3 linked regions of the Arabidopsis thaliana genome follow. The protein of the gene in region 1 binds, or shares a complex with, the protein of each later gene. Each region holds a gene or a part of one and is shown on either strand. Other genes may lie near its edges.

The links.
Region 2: AT2G32070 (region 1) and AT1G73875 share a complex: the UniProt entries of both Arabidopsis thaliana proteins name them as parts of the CCR4-NOT complex.
Region 3: AT2G32070 (region 1) and AT3G58580 share a complex: the UniProt entries of both Arabidopsis thaliana proteins name them as parts of the CCR4-NOT complex.

What each region holds. Positions count from the first base shown.
Region 1 is NC_003071.7:13,640,275-13,647,474, reverse strand, and holds AT2G32070 (Polynucleotidyl transferase, ribonuclease H-like superfamily protein), read left to right. Parts: upstream 1-5,414; 5' UTR 5,415-5,597; intron 5,598-5,731; 5' UTR 5,732-5,818; coding exon 5,819-6,646; 3' UTR 6,647-6,881; downstream 6,882-7,200. Other genes in the region: AT2G32090 (Lactoylglutathione lyase / glyoxalase I family protein), read right to left, coding at 1,867-1,898, 2,137-2,212, 2,324-2,554, 2,907-2,975; PUR ALPHA-1 (purin-rich alpha 1), read left to right, coding at 3,439-3,750, 3,833-3,880, 4,065-4,208, 4,284-4,517, 4,607-4,759. UniProt on the Arabidopsis thaliana protein: Ubiquitous transcription factor required for a diverse set of processes. It is a component of the CCR4 complex involved in the control of gene expression.
Region 2 is NC_003070.9:27,777,547-27,784,746, forward strand, and holds the start of AT1G73875 (DNAse I-like superfamily protein), read left to right. Parts: upstream 1-3,308; 5' UTR 3,309-3,565; coding exon 3,566-3,857; intron 3,858-3,995; coding exon 3,996-4,159; intron 4,160-4,232; coding exon 4,233-4,298; intron 4,299-4,371; coding exon 4,372-4,424; intron 4,425-4,765; coding exon 4,766-4,847; intron 4,848-5,072; coding exon 5,073-5,122; intron 5,123-5,241; coding exon 5,242-5,314; intron 5,315-5,539; coding exon 5,540-5,632; intron 5,633-5,717; coding exon 5,718-5,750; intron 5,751-5,871; coding exon 5,872-5,963; intron 5,964-6,195; coding exon 6,196-6,328; coding exon of another isoform or gene 6,329-6,412; exon of another isoform or gene 6,413-6,519; coding exon 6,520-6,605; intron 6,606-6,734; coding exon 6,735-6,819; intron 6,820-6,962; coding exon 6,963-7,025; 3' UTR 7,026-7,200. Other genes in the region: BBX16 (B-box type zinc finger protein with CCT domain-containing protein), read left to right, coding at 1,668-2,585, 2,716-2,976. UniProt on the Arabidopsis thaliana protein: Acts as a catalytic component of the CCR4-NOT core complex, which in the nucleus seems to be a general transcription factor, and in the cytoplasm the major mRNA deadenylase involved in mRNA turnover.
Region 3 is NC_003074.8:21,660,667-21,667,866, forward strand, and holds the start of AT3G58580 (DNAse I-like superfamily protein), read right to left. Parts: upstream 3,430-7,200; 5' UTR 3,032-3,429; coding exon 2,874-3,031; intron 2,680-2,873; coding exon 1,932-2,679; intron 1,840-1,931; coding exon 1,753-1,839; intron 1,672-1,752; coding exon 1,588-1,671; intron 1,512-1,587; coding exon 1,425-1,511; intron 1,328-1,424; coding exon 1,241-1,327; intron 1,132-1,240; coding exon 1,078-1,131; intron 983-1,077; coding exon 891-982; intron 796-890; coding exon 681-795; intron 595-680; coding exon 444-594; intron 349-443; coding exon 200-348; 3' UTR 1-199. Other genes in the region: AT3G58590 (Pentatricopeptide repeat (PPR) superfamily protein), read left to right, coding at 5,596-7,200. UniProt on the Arabidopsis thaliana protein: Acts as a catalytic component of the CCR4-NOT core complex, which in the nucleus seems to be a general transcription factor, and in the cytoplasm the major mRNA deadenylase involved in mRNA turnover.

The sequences.
Region 1 (7,200 bases):
AAACGTTTACAAAACATATATTCCCTAAAGGGTATTGTACTTTCGAGTGAATCTGAATATCAGATATTTACTTTTTTAGCGTTTTTCTTTCTTTTGGTTTGATACTTTCTAATTTTGTAATTATTCACTTTCTTTCTGAAACACTGACGTACAAAGCTGAATTCAACATGGGGAGGTCTTTCTTTATACGTGAATGATAGTATTTATAAATTTTGGTTTATTCATATAACCTTATAGTTTGTCAGAGTTACAAAAACTGCAAAACATGAAGAATGAGTGTCCTTGCAATTACAGAATAGAGAGAGCTCACGAGGAGGTAAATTCATCCACCACCTAGATTGGTCCACTCATCATGACGTAAAGCCAAAAGACGTTAGTTCAAGTACGAATACTTCCCTAGTGTGGTCCTGGTTTTTGGTCCACCGGTCCGATTCACAAGGTCAGGTCGAGTTTTCACTGGTCCGACCAAGCAGGTCATTCGGTCAATATTTGTTTTGTTAATCAAGTCCTAAAGATATTTTAGCCACCAGTGACTATAACTAAGTCTGGCTATTTTTGTACATGTAGAATCAAGTAATAACTAATAAGGAGTTAAGGACTAACGATCAGTTATGACTTGCTGTTGCTGGTAATTTGGCGGGTGAGAATAGACAATGGATAGAAGCAAGTTAAAAATGGAAATGAAGCATCCAATATAATAAGTATTTTGGAAGCATGTTTTTGTGAATTATCTCATTATGATTTGGTTATAGAGACTAATGTGAAGTCGTGTTGGTGAAAGGTTTGAAACTTGTTGTGTTTCATATATTCAATAGTTTAGCGACTATTTTTGCTTGTAGCCTATATATTTTCAGGGTTATCCCTCGTTACTGGTAAAGATCGTATCGGATAACACTCGAAATGCACAGCTGAGCTATCATCGTGCCAAGGCTAGGGTGGACCGGTGGTACCACTTCGCGTAGTTATCCGGCACCAGAAAAAAAAAAAAAGATTCGAACTCATCTTTCATATGGATAAATTTATGTGGGCCACAACAGAAAATATAGCTATCATCATACTTTGTTGTTACATAAGCTACTCATGATTCGTCCGCCAATATTCCATCACCAAATAAGAACCACAAAAGCGGCGACTGATGGATCATAAGATTTTAGATTATGGTAAGTTGTAGAATGTTTGTAATGCCTTCACACCATTATGCCTCTTGCCATGTTGGGGGTATGGACAACAACTTAGCCCCACAAATTGATGCCCTATTTTGTTTAGACTGGAATTTTGAAACACATTTTTCTCTATTTTGCTATTTTTGGGGTCATCAGTCTACACATGGATGTTGCAAATGACCACCAATTCGGTTCACTTCAGGTTGGGTTTAATTACGACCCGACTATGATCTAGCCAACCATAATTTAGCCTCGATATCTGAGGTTTAGGTCTGATTCGACCAAGCTTTATAGCAATACAAGTCAACCGGAAGTTAGAAATGATACGTTTGATGAGTTCAATCCGGGTTGAACCGGGTGAGTTTATATGACCAAAACAACTCTTCACAATAAATGAATAAAATATCTCGAGTTGTGAATGTATGGTTGTTCTTAGTTGGGTCTCTATCGTCCTCTCTCTCTATTATAACTATCCCAATCTCTTCGGTGTTGTAATAGAGACATGGGAACTACTAGACAAGGAAAAGCTCATAAATTCGATACATCCAACATTCAAAGCACATGACACGAACTTTGAGGCGTAAGCTGTCACAAGTTAACATCAAACCTAGACATATAGATTTTATTTCAACAAACTGATTATTTATACAATACTTTTATTTCATTCTATAAGTAGTGATACCACATATTTCAGGTTCAAGGCTCATGATCGACTTGCTACCTCTAATCCGTTTCCTGCAAAATTTGACGACAGAATCTGTAAGTTGAAACAGACAGGATCGCTGAAAGATAATCCTAGAACACATGTTCCGGATCGATAGACCAAAGTACTAAAGCATCAATGCATATAAATATATAATACACAAGAACTGTAATTTGCAAATGCTTGTGCTGAATAAGAAAAGTAGACATATATCTGACCAAGTTATAATAGTTATTAAGCCGGCTTAAGAGCAAAACAGAGATTAATTACCATCAGGATCAAAGAAGAAAACTTGCTTGACTTTTCCATCAGGAAGAGACTTCTGAAAAGTTTCTATCCCTTTCTCCTACATCATAACAAGGACGAGAAAGGATCGATTAAATAACTCTGAAAGATACCAATCATATCCATAACTGTACCATCAAAAGCTCATGTAAACAAGCCAAAGAAACAATACCTTGAGAGAATGAAGGAAAGAGTCGAAATTTGGGACAGAGAAACAGATATGATGACCCATTGGGAGATGGCTAGGATCCTTAACCGCTGAGGTAGCACTGTAAGGACCTTCTGGAAGATTTGTTGAAGGGTTTCTCTGGATAATATGCATTGCAAAAGCACCTGGTAAGTTTAGCCACACCACCTGTAGGTCTCCAAAATCAGGACTTTCGATCTCCTCGAACCCAAACACCTGACAATTATACATATATAATCCATTGGTTTCAGAACAAACCACGAAGATGAAGATAACACTAACTTAATCAAAAGGATTAAAGGCATCCAAAAGTGGACACTCTCAATAGAAACTAGAAACGAGATAAGTGACAAGAGAAAGAGACAAAGCCACAATAGCAACACAAATCTCTAAATAAAAAGCCAAATTACAAACCATAGATTCTAATCCAGATGGGTAATCGACTCAGTGCGTTTGTTTTTTTGGGTCGAAATTGGTAGTAACAACACAAACCCAGAACAGAGAATACGAAGAGAGATAAGAAAAAGAAAAGTGTAAGAAATTGAAAACGTCGATTAGGTGTCGTTACCTCTTTGTAAAACTGGGCGAGGCGTGTGATGTCTGATGATTCTCTGGCTATATGGCCAAGACTCGCCATGTTTGGTTCCAAGCGGACAAAGCTAATCAAGAAGAACAACTCAGAAACAAAAATGGTCGACAAAAAAGAGATTAGTAAAAGTACGTGGCATCGGCTCCTTATAACACATCTTTAATCAAACCATAAGGTTGAACCGATCGGTTTGACTATCAGTGAAACTAAAACCAACTTTAAAAAAAAGAATTATTATACGTAATTGCAGTTACTCCAAGAAAAATTAATCTGTTGCTTAATCTGAATATCCGACCAATCAGAAATGTTCGGACCCCGACCAAACAATGTATCCGGTTTAAAACATCCGGTCCGGTATTAAACCCTTATTGCTCCGTAATCTCTCACCTCCACCAATTCCTCATTCTTCCAATCGCACTTCCTTTACCAGATCAGACGTCAATTTCAACTCTTCAGTGAAGAGATTTCTTTCACCGAATTTTCTACTCCGATCGATCAATTGAAGATTGAAATGGAAGCTAATTCAGGCGGAGGAGGAGGAGCTGAAGGCGGAAGAGCGGTAACCGGAGGAGGAGGAGGAGGAGGAGGGAGCGATGTGGAATTGGTGAGCAAGACGTTGCAAGTGGAGCATAAGCTATTCTATTTTGATCTTAAGGAGAATCCTCGTGGAAGGTATCTAAAGATATCGGAGAAGACGTCGGCGACGAGGTCAACCATCATTGTTCCTTCCTCCGGCATCTCTTGGTTCCTTGATCTCTTCAACTACTATGTCAATTCTGAGGAACACGAGCTTTTTAGCAAAGAATTGCAGCTTGATTCCAAGGTTTCAACTTTATCATCACTCTCTTCTGGCGATCGTTGACTTTTCCACTCTCTTTAATTTCTGCTGTTGTTGCTTTATTCAGGTGTTTTACTTCGATATCGGTGAGAACAGAAGAGGACGCTTCTTGAAGGTAGAAATTTTTCTGTTTTACTTAATGAATCTGAAGTTTTTTTTCTTTGGTATATGTGAATTGAAGATTTAGGGAGTACTAGACTTATGGTTAGGAATGTTCTTTTCATTTTGGTTATGTGACTAATTATCCTGAGGTATCAGAAGTTGTAGGAATGTTCTGATGGGTTTTGGTGTGGTGTTAGGTGTCAGAAGCATCGGTTAGTAGAAATCGAAGTACCATTATTGTTCCAGCTGGAAGCTCTCCTGATGAAGGATGGGCAGCTTTCAGGAATATATTGGCTGAGATACATGAAGCATCAGGACTTTTTGTGATGCCAAATCAGGTGGTATTATCGTCTCCTTTGATTGAAAAGCCTTTAACTAAGTTCTCTGGTCTCATTGTATCTTCGTTTTGGAAACAGAAACCTTCTGATGGACAGGAACACTTGGTTGATGATGTTGGAGCTGGTTTTATACCTGGACATGGTAGTCAGCAGCCATCTTCTTCAGAACATAATGTGGATCGAACAATTGACTCGCCAGGCCAGGAAGAAACCGGAATGACTGGTGTTTCTAAAGTAATCAGAGCTGACCAGAAACGGTTCTTCTTTGATCTTGGGAACAATAACAGGGGCCATTTCTTAAGGATATCTGAGGTAATCTTGGAAGAACAATCTTTTGCTGGCTTATCTCTTGAGAGCTTGTATTTACCATGGTTTTAACATTAAAGCATTTCTCAATATAGGTGGCAGGTTCTGACAGGTCTTCCATCATTCTACCGTTATCGGGTCTTAAGCAGTTTCACGAAGTAATTGGTCACTTTGTGGAGATCACCAAAGATAAAATTGAAGGTATGACAGGTGCAAATGTCAGGACAGTTGATCCTCCTCAGAGATAAGTATTGATTCTCTTAGAGGATGGAAATTTTCAATCCTCTAACCATTTGAATCTGGCAACTTCAAGTCGACTGCCTGATCGCGGTGTGCAATAGTTTCACGTAATATCTCTCGCCCCTTCACATCTTCTAAAAATAATTCAGCAGGATCATCATTTGCCTTAATAGTAGATAAAACAAACTTTGGAGTCTGCAACTGGGAATAAGCTGAAAATCATCCACCATGTGTATCTCTCTCTCTCTCTCTCTCTCTCCCTCCCTCCCTCATTTGCTTCTGTTCTGTTTTAACTTTTTTTGTTTTTGTTCAGTTTGGGTCATTGGGTGTATATCTGTTGACGGCTTGATGCATTTCAATTGTAAAAGAATATTGGGGTTTATATGTTTGGGCTAATGCCTGTTGGAATAAAAGATGAAGTGTAAGTTCTATACATGAGTTACGAATTCTTTTTGGTTTTGTCTGAAAATGATTTAGTTCTACTACCAGAGGTTCTAAGAGCAGTTGCGAATTGTATATACTGTCCTAAGCATGCTTTGGTTAGACAAAAATTTCGATTTTTAGGTTAATCGAAAATGCCTCAATAATAAAAAAAAAAGAAAAAGAAATCAACGTTGCGTATAAAACAAGGGAGAAGATAAAAAAACAGCGTTTGTAAATAAAAAACAAAAACCCTAAAAAAAGGAGCAACTTTGGGCACAGTCCGAGAGAGAGAAAAAAATAAAAAATAATCTGTCGGTGATTTATAACCTCCTCTCTAATAAACCACCACATCCTCTGAAACCCTAGCCTGAACAACTCGCCGTCTTCTCGAGAAACATCTTTCTTACTTCGCTTCATTACAAGGTTCGAATCCAGCTGTCTCTCTTAGTATTTGTCTATGTATCTGTCGAGTTTCTCTGTTTTCATTGATTTATGTAAAATCAGAAGGTTTTGGTTTTTGTAAGTGATTCATTTGTTTTGTGTTAAATCTATTGCAGATCTGATGAAACCAGATCGGATCTTGCTCTAGATCCAGATGCTCCTTAACTTATTTACTCGAATTCATCATCATCGTTATCATCACCATGTCACTGTTTCTAAAAGACGATTCGATTCAAATCCGTGAAGTATGGAACGACAATCTCGAATCAGAGATGGCTCTGATTCGAGAAGTCGTAGACGATTTCCCATTCGTAGCGATGGACACAGAGTTCCCAGGAATCGTGTGTAGACCAGTGGGAACATTCAAAACCAACACAGAGTACCACTACGAAACTCTCAAAACAAACGTCAACATACTCAAGATGATTCAGCTTGGACTCACTTTCTCTGATGAGAAAGGTAACCTCCCAACTTGTGGAACAGACAACAAGTATTGCATCTGGCAGTTCAATTTCCGCGAATTCGACCTCGAATCCGATATCTACGCTACCGATTCGATCGAGCTTCTTCGTCAATCAGGCATCGATTTCGTGAAAAACAACGAATTCGGTATCGATTCGAAGCGGTTCGCTGAGCTTTTGATGTCTTCAGGGATTGTGTTGAATGAAAACGTTCATTGGGTTACATTCCACAGCGGATACGATTTCGGTTACTTGTTGAAGCTATTGACTTGTCAGAATCTTCCCGAGACGCAAACAGGGTTCTTCGAGATGATCAGTGTGTATTTCCCGAGGGTTTATGATATCAAACACTTGATGAAGTTCTGTAATAGTCTTCATGGAGGTCTGAATAAATTGGCGGAGCTGCTTGATGTTGAGAGAGTTGGGATTTGTCACCAGGCCGGATCGGATAGCTTGTTAACGTCGTGTACATTCAGGAAGCTGCAGGAGAATTTCTTCATTGGTTCAATGGAGAAGTATTCTGGTGTTTTGTATGGTTTAGGTGTTGAGAATGGTCAGATTGTTCATTGATAAAAGCTTAAAGTTTTAAACAGGTTATGTTATTTATTTTAGATTATTACATCATAGGTTGTTTTAAGAAGTGTATGATCACAAGAACTAAACTCTGATTTTGGTTTGGTATTGTGCTCTCTTACTTGTTTAAAGATAGCATCTCACTTAATTTATGAAAAAAAAAGTTTGATATATGTCCTTTTTCATCATATCTTAAAGATATTATCAAAGGTATACGTATTTGGCCTATTAATAAAATTTCACAATGTGTTAAAAGACTTAAAGGACAACATAAATTGTGGATTCTGTGAAGTGTTTAAACATTAAAGATGAAAATTGGGAAAGATTAAACAAACGACAGCGTTTTTTAAAAGGACCCAGATATTGAAGGAATGGCCCAGTAAAGCCCATTAAAGTAGAGCCCAGGTTCGTGACAAATCTGTTAAAATCGTATAATTCAGGGTTCGTAAAACCCTAATATATAACTTCGCTACTCATTTTTTGCTCTTCGTTGCAGCCTCTCTCTCTTTAAGGTTAGTCTCTTACTCACTTTTGCGTAGTTCCTCACTGAA
Region 2 (7,200 bases), on another chromosome or scaffold:
AAAGCAAAAAGATTTCCCGCATCTATGTTAGCAAGTGGTCTCTCATATCAATCAAGGCCTATTGTGCCTCCACTTCCGAAATTCACTCGTTCGTCAATAGGTTATATTATTAATTCTACACATGTATCACAAAAATGTGCAGATTTCAACTTGGTGGTGAATGGTGATATAATTAAGGTTTGTATATCATGTCACATAACTTGCGTAAATTCCATATAAAGTAATATAAATAAAATGGTGGTGTAAAGCAGAGGAACGAGTCCTATGATAGAGAGATGTTCAATTGTTCGTGGGTCATGTGGCGTAAAATTGTTTGTTTCCTTGTTTCTTTTGGCGTAAACTGCAAAATTGCCAAAAATTCGATGAAGTCACAACCTCTTGATTTGTATATATTGTCACGTCGCTATATCACCACAATCAATTCCTTTCTTTAAAGGACTAGAATTCCATTACTCATATCATTTCCGTTATGTTAGATCCACAATAAATGATAATAATTAAATTTAGGACCCATTTGAATCTTTAGGTGCTGATTAAACACCCATCTCTAAGATCACAAAAGCAGAAATTTTACATTTTTAGTGACATATAATCCTTTTTTCTATCATCAAACATTAGAAGTTGGATGTTAAATGTTCTACAAAACTTCACAGGTGTTGTTGGAAGTTCCAAAAAAGAATGTCGTTTGCTATACAAAAAAAGAAAAGAAAAGATGAAAAGTAACTTCCTGCGTTTAAAGTATCACGCTGCGTTGCGGTCATGCAAACGCACCAACAAACAAAATAGTTTCAAAACAAAACTTGAAAATGTGGGGTCCACGTAAGAATCTCCATGGAAGAACTTGAGCCAATCAGAGTGCAAAAACGGAGATGACAGTATATTTCAACCAATAAGGAGGCAGAATCAGATCACCAGTGGGTTCCATTATAAGTTTCCTCTTGACTAACCACCAATAGCTAGTTTTACACAGAACTTAAATTTTTCATTTTTTTTTGTCTTTTAATATTTCAACAAGATCAATTTTATTATTTGATATTAACCATCTTCAACAGTGTTTGCCAACGAAAAAAAAACACCATCTATAACAGTGTCTTCACCAAACTGTATTTCACTATGACTTATTTTCCGAAAAGAATGATGAAGTTTAGTACCATACATGAACTAGCGGTTAGATCGTAATTAAGAATTTGAGGATCATATTTTACTATATCATGAAAACGGAGAGAGCGCAAAATTACAGACATATTGGTTCAAAATTTTATTTAAGAATAAAGTATATATATGGTTCTAATTTTTCAAAAAAAAAGTATATGGTTCTAAACATTTATTTGAAAGTACGTAATATAATGAAAACAAAAATTGTAAATTTGAAGTAAAAAACTCGTGAAAAGTCCTCATTCTAAAATACCATGTACACGTACATAATAAACTATGAATAGAATTATGAGTTTTTATTTATATTTCTATCTCCACTCCAAATAATTTAGACCACACAAGGTAATGAAAAAATAATAATTCTGAAAAAAATGAAAAATACTGCCGGGAAATCGAGACGCCACACACACTAGTGAATTCGTTGCAAAACCATATATATTACAGTATTTTGTTCTTCTCAAGGCCTCTCTCTCCATCTCAGCAACTCTCTCACTGTGTAATATACACACACAATGGTGGTCGATGTAGAGAGCCGAACCGCGAGCGTGACAGGAGAGAAGATGGCGGCGCGTGGCTGTGATGCGTGCATGAAGAGATCACGTGCTAGTTGGTACTGTCCAGCCGATGACGCTTTCCTATGCCAAAGCTGCGACGCCTCGATCCACTCGGCTAACCATTTAGCGAAACGGCACGAACGTGTCCGGTTACAATCATCTTCGCCGACGGAGACGGCAGACAAAACGACGTCGGTATGGTACGAAGGATTCAGGAGAAAGGCGAGAACGCCTAGGAGCAAGAGTTGTGCGTTTGAGAAGTTGTTGCAAATCGAGTCAAACGATCCTCTTGTTCCGGAGCTTGGTGGAGACGAAGATGATGGCTTTTTCTCGTTCTCCTCCGTAGAAGAAACCGAGGAGAGTCTGAATTGTTGCGTGCCTGTTTTCGATCCTTTCTCAGACATGCTGATTGATGATATAAACGGCTTTTGCTTAGTTCCTGATGAAGTCAATAACACTACTACTAATGGAGAATTAGGAGAAGTCGAGAAGGCAATCATGGACGATGAAGGTTTTATGGGGTTCGTGCCATTGGATATGGATCTTGAGGATCTCACTATGGACGTGGAGAGTTTACTTGAGGAAGAACAACTTTGCTTGGGATTCAAGGAACCAAACGATGTTGGAGTCATCAAAGAAGAGAATAAAGTAGGGTTTGAGATTAATTGTAAGGATTTGAAGAGGGTGAAAGATGAAGATGAAGAAGAAGAAGAAGCCAAGTGTGAAAATGGAGGATCAAAGGATAGTGATAGAGAAGCATCAAATGATAAAGATAGAAAGACAAGTTTGTTTCTGAGATTAGATTATGGAGCTGTGATTAGTGCTTGGGATAATCACGGTTCGCCGTGGAAAACCGGAATCAAACCGGAGTGCATGGTAAGTTGGTGTCTCTAGCTATATCTCTCATCTCTATGTTAGTCTTTAGTAGTGTCGAGTTCCGTTGACTTTGAGCTGATATATATTGATTATAAAAGACGAAATAACGTTATAAAGTTCACTGATCCAGTTGGGAGGGAACACGTGTCTGCCTCATGTTGTGGGTGGGTACGAGAAATTGATGTCGAGCGACGGATCGGTGACACGTCAGCAAGGGAGAGACGGAGGAGGATCGGACGGGGAGAGAGAGGCGAGGGTTTTGAGGTACAAGGAGAAGCGGAGGACGAGGTTGTTCTCAAAGAAAATAAGATATGAGGTTCGGAAACTTAACGCTGAGCAGAGACCTCGAATCAAAGGTCGTTTCGTGAAGAGGACGTCACTTTTGACGTGATTTGATTTACTTTAATCAACACTTTAAAGATCTTGTAATTAAGACCTTTGAAGTAATTGTCGTAATGTACTGAATAATGAACTGAAACTCTTGGGGCCGATGGTTGTGTAGACTTGTAGCCGGCAACTATGATTTTATAGATTGATTGATTGAGTAATTTATTGTATATATCAAATGAAAACTCTTTGTTTATCAAATGAATTGGAGAAAAAAGCCATAATGTGTGATAATAACGAACACTAAAAAATTCGTAGCGAAGACATGTTACAAAGAAAACAAGTGTAATTAAAAAAAACAAAAAAAAAACAAGAAACAAGTTCAAATTAGAACATGCCATTTCCAACAATTTACAAATGAAGCAAGAAATAAAAGCCATTAAGGCCTAGTTATGGCTGAATAGCCCATCACACAATTAAAAAAACCAACATAAAGAGCCCAACTAGGCAACTACTTAAGCCAACCGGTTTGGGTTATCAAGTACGTATTTTAATCGTTAACCAGTAAAAATCGTGAATTTCAACCGACTGAATTTGGTTAACTTCACAAGGTTGACGCATAGCTCACGCGCCGCCGACTTGCTACGATTGACATGAGCGGATACGAGCGTAAGAACACGACGGCGAACTCAATCACCATCACCAAGCGGAAGCGTAACTCGATTTCGGAACAATCGGAGAACGTATACGAGAAATCGAATAGGAAGGAGTCAATAACCTTAAAACCTCACCGTTCTTTTACGCCGGGATTCAGCCAGCGTGATTGTAAACCTGTCAGACATAGTAAGTCTTCTCTCCGCCGGCGACGGAGAACTAAGGAGAAGATCTCGAGTTCCGTTGAGCGCGAATGGGTGTTTTCCGCAAACAATTTTGAAAATCTAGCAGGTCTGTGTGCATTGCAATCACACTGAATAATGCACTTATATGCTTTTATTAGCTTCACGAAGTATCACATTCCGTACTTTGAACACATTTTTATCTTATGTGTATGAAAAACTTGATATCTCCTTTTCAATTCTTCAGATAAATTAGTATTAGTTTCGTACAATCTACTTGGTGTTGACAATGCGTCGAACCACATGGACTTGTATTACAATGTTCCGCGGAAGCACTTAGAGTGGAGTAGACGGAAACATCTCATATGCAAGGAGATTAGTCGTTACAATGCAAGCATCTTATGTCTTCAGGCAAGTTCCAGGGGATTGCCTAGATCTACACTATTTAAGTTTCATTGCATTCTCATGTCCAAATTTATTGCAGGAGGTTGACCGCTTTGATGATTTAGATGTTCTTCTTAAAAATAGAGGATTTCGAGGTGTTCACAAGGTATATATACGAGTCAAAAGCTTTATTACCTTGTATGCAATGGTGCCTTTTTCATACATTTAGTATTTTTTAGAGTCGGACTGGAGAAGCGAGTGATGGTTGTGCTATATTTTGGAAAGAGAATCTGTAAGTTCAGTTTTTTTCTATTTAGGATCATTTTTAATGTGGTGGGAAGTCTCTATATGCTGGAGTCAGGATCAGGAATCTAGCCATTTGAATTGTCTACAGGGAATATCTCTCTTTTGGAACGAGATAAATTAGATCTTCTAGTTATCTGTTTTGAATGTTTCGAAATTGTTAATGGTAGGTTCACGTTGTGTTATGTTATCAGCTTTGACCTTGGCTTCACAATATATTGTTCAAGGCTGAAAGCTTTGCTTTCTATTGTTCTCGATGTTATTTATTTTGTATTAGACTCTTACTCTACTAGTTTCATCATTTATGTTATATTTCTGCTGTGAATGCAGATTTGAACTTCTAGACCATCAACATATAGAGTTTGATAAATTTGGTATGCGAAACAATGTTGCTCAACTTTGTGTTTTAGAGGTATGCACCGTTTTAAGTTATTTCTGTATTGTCGTCTTCCCCCTCTTTTCTCCTCTGTCTTTTCTTGATTCTAGAAGCACAGAGATATGACAAGCTTAATTGTGGGCATTATTTTATATATTTTTCCCTCCTGTTGTGTTTTCAGCTTTGCAGGCTAATTGCTTAATTTTCTTAGTTTCAGCCCTTGCAATTAATTAATTTACTTGATTGTCTATTACGGAACAGATGAACTGTGAGGAGGACCCAAAGTCTAAATTACGGGTGCGATCATCAGAGTATGTCTGAGTTCTGTTCTGATTCCTTTACTGGAGTGAATATTGAACTTACTTTTAAGATCCTTACTAAATTTTATGCGCACTTCCATGTTTGGTTGATTTATGCAAACTTCTACTAGTCCTCGAAGGCTAGTGGTTGGGAATATACATGTCCTATTCAATCCTAAGCGTGGGGATATCAAGCTTGGCCAGGTATGTCTTGCTAGATCCTTACAAAATTCTGATAAAAACTGGCTTATCCATAAAATCGGTAGAGCATTTCTGTCACTACACATCCTGAGTTTAGAAATGTCAATTTTTTAGCTAGTACTATTTTATGGTATTCATCAGTACATCAATGCCTGTCAGTATTGAAACTTCATTGAAATTCTAAGTAGCTCGCTCATTTCTTGATATTTGATATGTCATAACTTATAGGTAAGACTCTTTCTGGAGAAGGCTTACAAGCTATCACAGGAATGGGGAAATATTCCTGTGGCGATTGCAGGTGATCTGAATAGCACTCCACAGGTGATCTCTACCAACTTTTGTTTTTTTTGTTCTAATACTTATTTTTTAGCTGAATTCTAAAACTTACTCTGGATTTGCTGTACAGAGTGCAATCTATGATTTCATAGCTTCAGCTGATGTGAGTTCCATTGAGGGTTCTGGACTCTTTCTTTTACATTTCGCCTGGTCATAATTTTTTTCCTTTCTTTACTGGGAAAGTTAGAATGAACTCTTTATATTCCTTTTTTAATTTTGGACAGTTGGATACACAACTTCACGATCGCAGGCAAATTTCTGGCCAGACTGAAGTGGAACCAAAGGAGAGGTCATTCAGAAACCATTATGCATTTAGGTAGCTTGTAATTCACCGGGGTCTTTGGTTTCTCTAAATAATGTATCCATATTCCTTTTCTGCCTACCTGATGAACGGATAGATTGCTTATATCTCTTCTGTTTACCTGATGAACTGATAGAGTGATAGATTACTTATATTTTTCTTTGGCCTGCGCTTAATCAACTACGTAATCCTCAGATGAAGTTTCTATCTCAATTTAGTCTAACTAAACAACTCCCTCTTTCGTCAGTGCTTCAGCATCCATCTCCGGATCACTACTCAATGAGTGGAGCCAGGAAGAATTACAGCTTGCAACTGGTGGTCAAGAAACCACTCATGTCCAACATCAACTGAAGCTTAACAGCGCATATAGTGGAGTTCCTGTAAGTGTTTTTGTTTCTTGTTCTCGACTGGTGGACGCATCGAAAAGAGTTGAAATCTGCCTTACAGGAAAACTAAGTTCTTAGGAACTGTGGCTTTCTTTTATACTAGATACTGAAAAACGTTTAGGGAAAGTAGCATGTTGTATGATGTTATATATCCTTCTAGTATGCTAAGACCTGAGATCTTGCAGGGTACATATAGAACTAGAGATCAACGCGGTGAACCATTGGCAACAACGTATCATTCCAGGTTCCTTGGAACTGTTGATTATATATGGTAAGTCTGTTGTGCTTATGAAATCCGAATCATTAATCAGAGCTTTCAATTATATATGGCTATCAATGTTGTGATATATGCACATGTAATTTTGAAATCTCAATAATTAATCTGAGGTTTTGAACCCAGGCATACCAAGGAACTCGTTCCTGTGAGGGTTCTTGAGACCTTGCCAGCAGATGTATTGAGAAGAACAGGTGGACTACCTAGTGAGGTAAGTTTTTTTTTCTAGGCTAAACTTTTTTTCTGGGGCAACCCTTTACTTTCTCGAGTTACTCTATTCATTTTTTCAAGAATGTAAAAACTGGGATTATTGGAAGAGTTGCATACAAGTCTCTGACCAATGAAAATTTGCAGAATTGGGGAAGCGACCATCTCGCTATCGCATGTGAACTCGGCTTTGTCAATGACTGGCAATGAGCCAAAATGTTAGCACCAACCACTAAACCGAGCCACCTGACTTGGCCATCCCTTGAGGTTTTTGAATGCTCATCGAGGCTTCTGAATTGGAGTTCGGAAACAGATTCAGTAAATTGTAAAACATAAACAAGTTTTGGGCTCATTCCCATACATAGATTTGCTTACTTGAAACATT
Region 3 (7,200 bases), on another chromosome or scaffold:
GGGGTCATAATAAAGAATGACCAACTTCATAGAGTGGTTTGCCTTACTCAGAATCCCTTTGAATCTTTGTGTCATCTCTATCACAGATTTGGTAAAGGTTTCGTCTAAACAGTTGATGTCATAGTCTGATCAAAGAAGAAGATCGGAACAAAAAAAAAAAACCTATCTGTAAGCAAATGATGGTGGGTGGTGAAGGCGGTTAACCGCGTCTTGTCCTAGGCGTGCATCGAAATTCAGCTAAGAGAGCAATGTGATTAGAAGACCATTCTGGGGAAGGAAGAGCTGTGTCTTTTCTTAATCCATCTTCATCCAGTAATTCCAATAGAGATTCCACCATTAATGTATCCGCTGAAACCCAAACACAAAAAAATCTTCCAATTAAGTTAACTTGTTATTTCTGATGTAGTTGAAAACAAGGACAATGGAGTTAAAAATGGTGAAACCTGTGTAGAATATGTAGTCATGAGTGCCGATGAAGTCCCTTGTACAATTGGTAAACAAAGGCTCGTTTGTATTAAGATCTATTCTCCTTCTGTGTTGTTCCAATCCAAGACCCATTATTCCCTTTCTCACAAACGATGAGTACGCGCTCACCTGAAACCAATTCATTTATCAAATATCCAAGAGAGACGCAAAGATAAGCGGTATAAATTTACTTAAATCGAAAAAAGCAATGTTACCAGAGGCAATTGATGAGTCAATTTGGTGTGAGGACGCAGGATATTAAGGGGATCGACTGCCAGATCTGGGTGCATTGGATCAACCTTTCCCATTACAAGAAGTGTATGAGGTGCACTGTCATAAAAATGCCAAAAAGAAAAACTTTAGCTACTCATAAGAGAATTCTGCATTTCATGTATCATGTCAAAAGAATTTATGAATCAACAAACCTCCCAGGAAGCGTATTGAAGTCTCCACACACAAGCATAGGAATATCGGCACTAGCTGCTATTTTCTCTAGTCCCTTTAATAAGGTATGAACCTAAACGCAAAAGAATAAAAGAAAACATGAGGTGAATACTAATTCTTTCGAGTTCAATGAAATTTGATTTATTTCGGATATAGAGATACACCAACCTGCCAGAGCTTCACATCCTTCAGATCTTGTTGAACATTTACATGTGTGTTTGCCTAAACAAGTTGCCACAACAAAATAAGAAAATTCATTGGCTTTCACTAAAAGAGCATATACAGAAACTAACAGTTCTCATGAGAATGGAAAAAAAAAAAGAACCAGTACCACACAAATAAGCTGGCGCTTCCCAGAAGGATCAGTAGGTTGATTACCAAATTTGGCTTCAAGAACAACTATCAACGCAATGTTATCCTACAACATAAGAATCATTGGTTTCAGTTTTGTAAACAATAACTCTCTGATAATCAGCTGTGGCCCAGAAAAATATTGTATACCATGTCAAAAATACCTTAACCAGTCGGTTTAAAGCAGTTCTCTTCTGAGCCTGAGGGATTAGAGCGTCAGTCAAAGACTGAGCAGCCTTGTTGAATTCAACCTGGATTTACAGTCCATGAATTAGTATAGAGATCTTACTGGATCTAGCAAGTAAACATATAGAACTGAATACAAACATCATATTTCTTGACATGCGAAAACCTATCCCGCCGGAAAAATGTTGCACAGCCGTCAATGGCACTTGTACTTCCGCTGAGAACCTAGCAACAAGAAATTTGTGGTTAATAGATTTTAAAACATAAATCACTGAAGGAAGGAGTGTGTGGAATCATTGACCAAACCTCATTAGTCTTCCTCTTGTAAAGAGCTTGATACCCATGCTTATCCAACTCAGGAGCAAAAATTTCATGGAAATGATCACTTTGTACCTGCCAGATAACAAAAAAAAGAACACATTAGAAGTAGATTTTTCAGAATTAAAATGCTTTAAATCATTACCAAGTCCATACGAATAACATACTTCTTGCAGGCAAACTACATCGGCTCTATATCCAACAATCTCCCTTAACAAATTCTGTCTTCGGTATGGCCATGAAAGAGCCCAAGGAGGACAGTAACTGTAGAGGTCGCTACTTGCAGAAGTATCAGACAAAATGTTATATGAAAGAACAGTGAATGATCCTGCAGACTGAATCCGAGCATCTTGATCTAAGTGACCCATCCCATCAGCTCCGTTAACAGGGATTAGCTTACGGGGGCTTGGAGAAGGAGCAGGAATAACCCGTGAAGTCAAAATGGTACTAGGATGTCCGACAATCTGTTTAGTCTCAGCATTAGCCACAACACACTCGAACTTCAAAACGTGGCTAATATCATCAGCTGTTGGAGTGTACGTTTTGCAACCCCCAACCTCAACTAAAGTCTCTCCTCCATTTTTCTGAGTAATATTAGAAGGATAAAACGGAGCTGGACCATTGTTGGCAATACTAAGATTTGACATAGACCCAGATAAGGAACCAGCGAGAGACCCAGAACCCGCACTGTTATTCCTGTTCAAGTCATCATCCTCGTTTGCGTTGTTTTCCGCAGCTGCTCGCTCGTGCAAAGTCCTGTGATGCTGCCACGCATCCGTGAAGCATTTTGGCGAACAGTGATAGCTTTTTGGAACAAGGGATCTACGCTTAGAACAGAAAACACACTGTAAAGTAGCTTGTTCCGTTGGATGCACACTGCAAATCGTTACTTTCTTATCACTCTGTACACGATACCTACAACAAATAAATCCAAAAAATGAATCTACAACAAGATCAGAACTTTACACACAAAAACCATTTGACGACCTAAATCAGAACATCTACATGAGAAATCTCTGAATTCAGATCAAAATTCAATCTTTGATAAACCCCAATTCGCCAAATGATCCAAGAAAGCAATTAGACAAAGAGCCAATCAGAAATCTAACCATCTGTATCTCAAGAAGTAGCCTTCAAGAGGAGCAGATTCAGGGACGTCATCAGTGGTGGAGTTCTTATCGGGACGACGAACAAGGACGTAAGGAGTCAATTCACAGCCCACAATGGGAATTTCAGAAGGAAGATGCACTCGGATCACGCTCAGCATTGCTTTTCAATAACACCTGGTGATTGTCGAAGAACACTATCGAAGCAGCAGCAGCAGAGATTCAGAATCGAAGCAAGACCTTGATGATGATTATTAGATGATGAATATTGTCGTTGATAACCTAATGAAGTGGAGCGTACGATAGGCTGATCCACCATTTACTTGAACCGAAAACCCGACCAATCTCTAGAAACCCTAGAAAATGTCTTCTTCAGACAAGGTTGAAGATCCGGCAGAACCAAATTAGAATCGAAGAAAAGAAAAAAAGAAAGGAAAATGATGGTATCGAGAAAGCTTATAAGAGATGTGAGATCTTGAAGGAATTTTGTATTAAGGATCGATTCTTTCGCTGTGAATATGGAAAAAATCAATGAAATCGATTTTGGTTTTTTTATGTGTTTTTTTTCCCCGAGTGGGTTTAATACTAAAACTATTATTTTGTGCTTTGAAGACATTATTATGAAATTTTATAATATTTTAATTGATCTTCCTTTTCGATGAAAATTTTGGTTTTGGCGCTCAAAGATTGAAAGTTTTTCGTTTTATTTTTGTTTATATAAAGATAAAATTTTAAAATCTAGAAAATGCGTAAAAACAAATAATCCACAACTAAACATGACTTACCAAAGACAAATCAAGATTTATGACTCGTACCATTACGAAAACAAGATTGGTGACTTAAAAGAAGTGTATTTATATCTATGATAGATTGAAGAAAGAAGGAATGGTGAAGATGAGTCAATAGGTGAGTGTTCAACGCACATTCAGTAGGAGCCAGGAGGTGTAGTTTCTTCGTTAAGATTAAGAGACAAGAAATATCAATTCGTGATATAATTATCTTGAAGACGATTTGTTGCAGATTAAGGTAGAATTAACTTCTTCTTCTTTTTTGTTTTTTTTTTAAAATGTGAGAATTACCCAAGAAGAGCAGCATAGTTTATCAATTCAATTGATCTTCTTAAGAATTGTTGAATTTGTCAAATTAATGAAAGAATCACATTTTAACATTGTCAAAATTGTCATGTTCATTTTCGCTTTTGTTTTCGTTTTAGCTAGTTCATTTGGTTTTCATAAATATAAGCGGTTCAAACCTGAAATAATTAAGGTTCGAATTATGAAAATTTTGTTGGTTTTTAATAAATTTAGGTAGACTAAATTTCATTCTTTTCAGGTTTACTCAATTTTAAAGTATAGAAATTTAAGATTTATATCTAACTTTTGTTGTATTTGATATGAAAAGTTATCGGTTTGTATTTTACCGAATTTAGATAACTATTTACAAATTATTATTTTGAACTAATTATAGAAAACAAATACAATGCGTGTCCAGTAAATCAAAGTTGAGAGATTTCTTTCTCGTTTTTAAGCATTCAACACAATTTTTTCTATTTGTTATTTCGGAGGCCTGAGTCCACATTTTATATGAAGCATAACATGGAAAATAATAATAATTATTATTTTTCGAAAGCGATCTTTTCCAAACAAAGAAGCCTCAAACACTATATACGCTACAAAATAACATCTCGACCTTGTAACAAAGAATGCATTAGATATTTTTTTTTTTAATCAAAATTGTTGAGATGAGCAAAAGCACAGAACGTATTCAACTTTTCAAAAGGGTTGTGGCAGCTGAATATTATTTGTTCTATGATGGTAACTAACAATTTGTTTATTTTTTGTTCTTTATAGTGAAATCTTTTGATTTGATTTTTCTTTTTGTTGTTGTTAGTTTTGTTGGAAGCCGTCAAAGACATACAAAAATTGAAAGTTGATCTAACGATAGAAGAGAAGAAATGCTTAGAAATGGTAAATGAGAATCTATTTAACGAGACAGTAAAGATACTAAAACCGCTCGAAGATATGGGTATGAGGTCTGAAGAAACAATCATTATAGATGATAATCAAAAGATGATTAAAGAGTATTTGGAGGACACCTTCATAGTTTGTCATAAAATATGTAAGGAGATTCAAAAGTTGGGTATTTGCCCTTTGTGAGTTAAGTACTCTTATCGTCCTTTTTCTCTAGAGATTTGGAGGGTTTTTCAATATGAATTAGATATGTAAACCAATATTATTCAAACATGAGGTATAATCTAAAAAATGTGAAAGGAAAGATGGAAGGGATGAGGAGAGCAACCTTTTTTATTAATGATAAAATTTCATTGGAAATGATAAACAAATTAAATTATGGAATAAAAATAAAATTATTCAAAAAAAAAAAGTTGAGTTGATTTTGGTTCATTTAGAAAACCATAATATTAATTCGATTTTCTTTTGTTAAATATGGGCCAATTTGAAAGATCTTATTTGTAAAATAATATGGGCCAGATTGGTCAATTGGACAGATAAAACCGTGATACTGTGGTTGAACCAGCCGGTGCGGTCTAGATCAATTATTTAGTTCCCTGGTTCTGAACTTCAAACTTTGTTCTTGATGTTTATAAAAATCCGAACTTTTAAAATTTCAGACCTTTATTAGAACTTTCTTCATGATGCACGAAACTTAGTTCTTAATTATAACTGAGATCGATCTGGGAAGTACTCTGTTTTCAGTATCCTTCTGCATGAGCCTCAGCTGTGGAGATCTCGCCAATCACAACGATCGTGTAGTTAGCTTACTCAATGTCTGCAGAAAAGCTCCTTCCTTTGCAAGGACCAAAGCTCTTCACGCTCTCTCCATCACTTTATGCTCTGTTCTTTTGCAGCCAGTTTATGTCTGCAATAACATTATCAGTCTTTATGAGAAGCTTGGCGAGGTATCACTTGCAGGCAAAGTGTTTGATCAAATGCCTGAGAGAAATAAAGTGTCTTTCAACACGATCATTAAAGGGTACAGCAAATACGGGGATGTTGATAAAGCTTGGGGTGTGTTCTCTGAGATGAGGTATTTTGGATATTTGCCGAACCAGTCAACAGTGAGTGGTTTATTGTCCTGTGCATCGTTGGATGTTCGTGCTGGAACTCAGTTGCACGGTTTGAGCTTGAAGTATGGCTTGTTTATGGCTGATGCATTTGTTGGTACTTGTTTGTTGTGTTTGTATGGGAGGCTTGACTTGCTGGAAATGGCGGAACAGGTTTTTGAAGATATGCCGTTTAAGAGCTTGGAAACATGGAACCATATGATGTCTTTGTTGGGGCATCGTGGTTTTCTCAAAGAATGCATGTTTTTCTTCCGTGAGCTTGTTAGGATGGGCGCTTCTTTAACTGAAAGCTCTTTCCTGGGTGTATTGAAGGGTGTATCTTGTGTAAAGGACTTGGATATTAGCAAACAGTTGCATTGCTCAGCAACGAAAAAAGGGTTAGATTGTGAAATATCCGTCGTTAACTCTCTCATCAGCGCATATGGAAAATGTGGCAATACGCATATGGCAGAGAGAATGTTTCAGGATGCAGGTTCCTGGGATATAGTGTCATGGAACGCCATAATTTGTGCAACAGCCAAAAGTGAGAACCCGTTAAAAGCACTCAAACTCTTTGTGAGTATGCCAGAGCATGGGTTTTCCCCGAACCAAGGTACATACGTTAGTGTTCTTGGTGTCTCTTCTCTTGTGCAGTTACTGAGTTGCGGACGCCAAATTCATGGCATGCTAATTAAGAATGGCTGCGAAACTGGCATAGTTTTGGGGAATGCGTTGATTGACTTTTATGCTAAATGTGGTAATCTGGAAGATTCCCGCCTATGCTTCGATTATATACGTGATAAGAACATTGTTTGTTGGAATGCGCTGCTTTCGGGTTATGCCAATAAGGATGGTCCGATTTGTCTCTCTTTGTTTCTGCAAATGCTTCAAATGGGTTTCAGGCCAACTGAATATACTTTTTCGACGGCCCTCAAATCTTGTTGTGTCACAGAGTTACAGCAGCTGCACTCTGTTATTGTGAGAATGGGATATGAAGATAATGACTATGTCTTAAGCTCTCTTATGAGATCCTACGCCAAAAATCAACTGATGAATGATGCTCTTCTTCTGCTGGATTGGGCTAGCGGGCCAACTTCGGTCGTCCCATTGAACATTGTTGCCGGAATCTATAGCAGAAGAGGCCAGTACCATGAATCTGTGAAGCTGATTTCGACACTAGAACAACCCGACACTGTATCTTGGAACATTGCAATTGCGGCCTGCTCTCGTTCTGATTACCATGAAGAGGTTATCGAACTTTTCAAACAC